2 linked regions of the Saccharomyces cerevisiae S288C genome follow. Changing the gene in region 1 together with any one later gene gives a genetic interaction. Each region holds a gene or a part of one and is shown in the gene's direction. Other genes may lie near its edges.

The links.
Region 2: mutations in GCY1 (region 1) and TSR3 together harm fitness more than expected from each alone (negative genetic interaction), as found in Saccharomyces cerevisiae (2 studies listed by BioGRID).

The regions. Positions count from the first base shown.
Region 1 is NC_001147.6:549,117-552,552, forward strand, and holds GCY1 (glycerol 2-dehydrogenase (NADP(+)) GCY1), read left to right. Parts: upstream 1-1,997; coding exon 1,998-2,936; downstream 2,937-3,436. Other genes in the region: protein kinase RIO1, read right to left, coding at 1-1,130; PFY1 (profilin), read right to left, coding at 3,182-3,436. UniProt on the Saccharomyces cerevisiae protein: Glycerol dehydrogenase involved in glycerol catabolism under microaerobic conditions. Has mRNA binding activity.
Region 2 is NC_001147.6:337,180-340,345, reverse strand, and holds TSR3 (ribosome biogenesis protein TSR3), read left to right. Parts: upstream 1-1,724; coding exon 1,725-2,666; downstream 2,667-3,166. Other genes in the region: SGT2 (Sgt2p), read left to right, coding at 368-1,408; DNA ligase (ATP) DNL4, read left to right, coding at 3,003-3,166. UniProt on the Saccharomyces cerevisiae protein: Aminocarboxypropyltransferase that catalyzes the aminocarboxypropyl transfer on pseudouridine at position 1191 (Psi1191) in 18S rRNA.

The DNA.
Region 1 (3,436 bases):
AAGCTTTTCAGTAAGTCAAACTTACCATCAGTATACCTATCAAAATCTCTTTCCTCTAATCCACCCAATGATCTAACTAAATGCAGCGATCTGAATATTTCATCTTCTGCCTCATCTTGTTCTGTAGATTTTATTGGTAGATTACTAGCAATGTATGCAACCAAGGCGCTAATATTGTTATAATCACCTTTAAATTTCTCCAAAGTTTCTGATATGACAAATTGAAAAATAACCCTTTCAGGGAAAATACTTATACCCATCTTCTCGAAATAAAGGTTAACGTTTTTGATATCCATCCTTAAAAAATCTAAACTCATTGGATGTTCAGGTTCCACACTTTGGGAAACATCGATCATATATAGTTTATCATCATGAACTATGGTGTTATACTCTGACAAATCGGCATGAACCAGGCGACAAACTTGGTACAGCAATCTCATATATGCCACCATTGTGTGATAATAATGGAAAATTTCATCACGATTCTTGTACGGATAATCTTTTAATTTAGGTGAGGCAAATCCATTACCTCGGCTTAAAAATTCCATAACTAAGACGTTGTTCTTAACTTCTATTGGCTTAGGAGCTGGAATGACGCCACTTTGATAAATTCTTTTCAGGTTCCTAAATTCCTTTTCAGCCCAAATTTTAATCATTTTCCTTGGATTATGTTGAGATCTGGAATTTCTAAATCTAAATTCACCATCAACATATCTTTCACGATCTTTGAAGACTAGGATAGAGGTCTTATAAATCTTAATGGCATATTCTGCACGGGATCCGTCTGTCTCTAAAACTTCATACTGGCCTGTTTCCTCATCTATTACGGGTGCCTTACCGGTACCTGCAAAAGCGTGGTAAACATTAGCTTCTTTCCCAGTACTTAAGCAACCGTTCAAATCTGCAATCACACCTCTGGTGACCATAGACTTCAAAAATCTCATAGTTCTCGGATCTAAGACATTTTCCACAGTCGCCCTATTTGCTTTATCCTTTGATGTTTTCGCTCTGCTGAATGATAATTCATCAGTTTTTATTTTGTGACTATACTTCTCTAAGAGCTGATTATTAATATGGTCCGAGGCACCTTGCGACACAGACAATGAATCAAATTTATCTTCCAAGGACATGACCTTCTAAAAATAACGGAGTTTGAATCTCTAAATCTGTTTTAACTTCTTTTTACTATTATTTTTAGTCTTAGTATCTCATCTCATCTCAATTTCTATATTCCACTATAAAATTTTTCACTCTTTCTGCGCGCGCCAATGTCCCCGCAACTACTCAATAGGTAACATGAGAATATTTCAGTTCGTAAGAGAGAAGAGATGAAGTTATTTGGGCTCTTTGCTCGAGGTTACAGAAGGGCCGCATTAGAGTGAATGAGCTGATGATATTTCGCCCAGTTCTACATTTTTTTTTTTTTGGAAGTATGACCTCTGTTAAATTTTTTTTTTTTTAAATTTCACTTTCTAAAGTCCCAGAAATCCGCTTGAATGTCTTACATATTGCAATGGATATGCTTGGGTGATCATACTTCCTGGCTTTAGATATTTGAAACTTAACTCTTGTCAACAAACTTCCTATGGAGTGTATAAGAATTGTAAGTTATAACACCGGCGAACAATCGGGGCAGACTATTCCGGGGAAGAACAAGGAAGGGCGGTCTTTTCTCCCTCATTGTCATAGCAAGGTCATTTCGCCTTCTCAGAAAGGGGTAGAATCAATCTAGCACGCAGATTGCAAACACGGCTTAATAATATGCCTATCAGGCATTCACCCGTGTGACGAATCGCACACCGCTGCTCTCCTTAATTCCCTAGAGTAGAAACCGAGCTTTCAGGAAAAGACTACGGCAGTAAAGAATTGCTTTACTGGGCGTATAAAACCGGGAGAATCAAGACATTCTAATGACTTGATTCAGGATGAGAGCTTAATAGGTGCATCTTAGCAAGCTAAAATTTGGACAGCTCTCATTACTAAATTAAGATAGAAAAATGCCTGCTACTTTACATGATTCTACGAAAATCCTTTCTCTAAATACTGGAGCCCAAATCCCTCAAATAGGTTTAGGTACGTGGCAGTCGAAAGAGAACGATGCTTATAAGGCTGTTTTAACCGCTTTGAAAGATGGCTACCGACACATTGATACTGCTGCTATTTACCGTAATGAAGACCAAGTCGGTCAAGCCATCAAGGATTCAGGTGTTCCTCGGGAAGAAATCTTTGTTACTACAAAGTTATGGTGTACACAACACCACGAACCTGAAGTAGCGCTGGATCAATCACTAAAGAGGTTAGGATTGGACTACGTAGACTTATATTTGATGCATTGGCCTGCCAGATTAGATCCAGCCTACATCAAAAATGAAGACATCTTGAGTGTGCCAACAAAGAAGGATGGTTCTCGTGCAGTGGATATCACCAATTGGAATTTCATCAAAACCTGGGAATTAATGCAGGAACTACCAAAGACTGGTAAAACTAAGGCCGTTGGAGTCTCCAACTTTTCTATAAATAACCTGAAAGATCTATTAGCATCTCAAGGTAATAAGCTTACGCCAGCTGCTAACCAAGTCGAAATACATCCATTACTACCTCAAGACGAATTGATTAATTTTTGTAAAAGTAAAGGCATTGTGGTTGAAGCTTATTCTCCGTTAGGTAGTACCGATGCTCCACTATTGAAGGAACCGGTTATCCTTGAAATTGCGAAGAAAAATAACGTTCAACCCGGACACGTTGTTATTAGCTGGCACGTCCAAAGAGGTTATGTTGTCTTGCCAAAATCTGTGAATCCCGATCGAATCAAAACGAACAGGAAAATATTTACTTTGTCTACTGAGGACTTTGAAGCTATCAATAACATATCGAAGGAAAAGGGCGAAAAAAGGGTTGTACATCCAAATTGGTCTCCTTTCGAAGTATTCAAGTAATTGTTTTTGCGTGTTTCTCGTATGATTGTAATATGTAGATAAATTAAACATAAGTATATCAAATGTCGATATTCTTAAGACTGTTTCGTAAATATGTTAAATACCGGATGTGACTACATATAAAAAGTGCGCCTTTTACAGTGATAATTAGCGTCAATCAATAAAATATTTGTAAAATAGGAAGCGAAATCCCGCAGATGCCAGAATAGGTGGTGTATAAGGCAAGAAAACTTTACCTGCATAAATTAGTATTGAACACCAATCAAGTAGTCAGCCAATTGCTCGACAATCTTGGTGGCCTCACCGGCTTGTACGGTTGGTGGATAATGAGCAATAATAACGGTTTGCTTAGTTCTTACACAAACAACACCCTCAGCATCATGTCTACCGTAGATACTTCTATCGTCAGCTCTCAACAACATGAACTTTTGGCCTTGAATATGCAAACCATTGCTTTGCAAACCAGCTGGATTGTCGAAGCCTTGAACAATTTCACCAAT
Region 2 (3,166 bases), 210 kb from region 1:
TCTGGCTACGAACCAGAAGATTCCAGGTTCAAGTCCTGGCGGGGAAGATTTTTTTTAACATTGAATAGAAATTACAAAGGTCTTTTATGCTATTTTAAAGGGCTATAGGCGGCATAATATTTGCTTTTAACCTTATTGTCATGACATTCTAATCACAACACTTAGCCCTTCTTTTGTATTTTTCCAAACTTTTTCAAGTCTTAAAATTTTCCCAATCGAAAAAAATGGAAGATCCGAGAAGGTTTTATTGCCCTACGCTTAATCCCAAATTTTGCCACCATATAAAATGAGTACGAGCGATATAATCGGACAACTGAATAGAAGCTTCTGACCAAGTGATATCTTATTAATACAAATCTACTGTACGATGTCAGCATCAAAAGAAGAAATTGCTGCCCTTATTGTAAACTACTTTTCTTCCATTGTGGAAAAGAAAGAAATTTCAGAAGATGGCGCCGATTCTTTAAATGTTGCTATGGACTGTATCTCTGAAGCCTTTGGCTTTGAAAGAGAAGCTGTTTCAGGCATTTTAGGCAAGTCTGAATTCAAGGGTCAACATCTTGCTGATATATTAAATTCTGCGTCAAGAGTTCCAGAATCGAATAAGAAAGACGATGCTGAGAATGTCGAGATTAATATTCCAGAAGATGATGCGGAAACTAAAGCCAAAGCTGAGGACTTGAAAATGCAAGGTAATAAAGCAATGGCCAACAAGGATTACGAACTGGCAATCAATAAATATACTGAAGCCATTAAAGTTTTACCAACGAATGCTATTTATTACGCCAATAGAGCGGCTGCTCATTCATCCCTGAAAGAATATGATCAAGCGGTCAAAGACGCTGAATCTGCAATTTCTATTGACCCATCTTATTTCAGAGGCTACTCTAGATTGGGTTTTGCTAAATATGCGCAAGGTAAACCCGAAGAAGCCCTTGAAGCATACAAAAAGGTTCTTGATATAGAGGGCGATAATGCAACAGAAGCTATGAAAAGGGATTATGAAAGTGCCAAGAAGAAGGTTGAGCAATCTTTGAATCTGGAGAAAACCGTTCCAGAACAGTCAAGGGATGCTGATGTCGATGCAAGTCAGGGTGCTAGTGCGGGTGGATTGCCAGATCTTGGTTCTTTATTAGGAGGTGGTCTTGGAGGTTTAATGAACAACCCACAATTGATGCAGGCTGCGCAAAAAATGATGAGCAATCCAGGTGCAATGCAGAATATTCAAAAAATGATGCAAGATCCAAGTATCAGACAGATGGCTGAAGGCTTTGCTTCAGGCGGAGGAACTCCAAATTTGTCTGACTTGATGAATAACCCAGCACTCAGAAACATGGCAGGCAATCTTTTTGGTGGAGCAGGTGCCCAATCTACAGATGAAACACCAGACAATGAGAACAAGCAATAGTGGACTGAAATAAGCCTTTAATGCAATACATGTTATGTAGATACAAATATAGCTCTATCTAGGATGAGTGTTACCAGGAATTTTATTTTTACTTTGAGATCACTTGCGAAATACTTAAATAGGGACTGTAGTTTACTTTTTCTTTTTTTCAGGTAAATTCGTCGATTTTCGGAGAAGACTAGAAAATATAATGTGATGAGAAACTACATAAAAAAATTTTTACTAGTAAATGTCTATTTGAAATACTTTATCGAAAAGCTTTTTATGTAAATCTGTATAGAACTTCTCGCGTAAGACAGTTGAGTAAGCAGTAACAATGGGAAAAGGTAAAAATAAGATGCACGAACCCAAAAATGGAAGACCACAGAGAGGCGCTAATGGGCACAGTTCCAGGCAAAACCATAGGCGCATGGAAATGAAGTACGATAATTCAGAAAAAATGAAGTTTCCTGTTAAACTGGCTATGTGGGATTTTGATCATTGCGATCCAAAGAGATGCAGTGGTAAAAAACTTGAAAGGTTGGGCTTAATTAAATCATTGAGAGTTGGACAGAAATTTCAAGGTATTGTCGTTTCGCCAAACGGCAAAGGTGTTGTTTGCCCTGATGATCTAGAAATTGTCGAACAACACGGCGCTTCGGTGGTCGAGTGTTCTTGGGCACGTTTAGAAGAGGTACCCTTCAATAAAATAGGCGGTAAGCACGAAAGGCTGCTGCCGTATTTAGTGGCCGCTAATCAAGTAAATTACGGGAGACCATGGAGGCTCAATTGCGTTGAGGCATTAGCGGCTTGTTTTGCTATCGTCGGGAGAATGGATTGGGCCAGTGAATTGTTATCACACTTCTCGTGGGGAATGGGATTTTTAGAATTAAACAAAGAATTGCTTGAAATCTATCAGCAGTGCACTGACTGCGACTCTGTAAAGAGGGCTGAAGAGGAATGGTTGCAAAAATTAGAAAAGGAAACTCAAGAACGAAAATCCCGAGCTAAAGAAGAAGATATATGGATGATGGGTAACATAAATAGAAGGGGTAATGGTTCGCAATCTGACACATCAGAGAGTGAGGAAAACTCAGAACAATCTGATTTGGAAGGCAATAATCAATGTATTGAATATGACTCTTTAGGTAATGCTATTCGTATAGATAACATGAAAAGCAGGGAAGCGCAATCTGAGGAATCAGAAGACGAGGAAAGTGGTTCAAAAGAAAATGGAGAGCCTTTAAGTTATGACCCCTTAGGCAATTTAATTCGATAGGTGATTAAATAGGCTGAAATCAGTGTTTAGTAACTACGTACGTTGTACATGTAACATTGTGATATAAATCGTAAGATTCGCCGAGTATAGATCAATAATATCGGTTTCATCACTTACGTTGTTTGTGCAGTACTAGAGTTAAGATCGTTTTCGATCCCTTATTTTCTTCTTTTTTCCTTTTTTTTGTTATTTTTCTCTTTTTACCTTTTGTCACCATATTAAATCTTTAAACAAATCTAACTATGAAAAAATCCTTTAAACATATGTTAATATGTGGAAAATAAATACTAAAATAAAAATCTAGAACTGAAGGAAATAGTAACGGATTATTTAGGTATGATATCAGCACTAGATTCTATACCCGAGCCCCAAAACTTTGCGCCTAGTCCAGATTTCAAATGGCTTTGTGAAGAGCTATTTGTGAAGATACATGAAGTTCAAATTAATGGAACGGCCGGCACTGGCAAATCAAGGTCTTTCAAGTACTATGAAATAATATC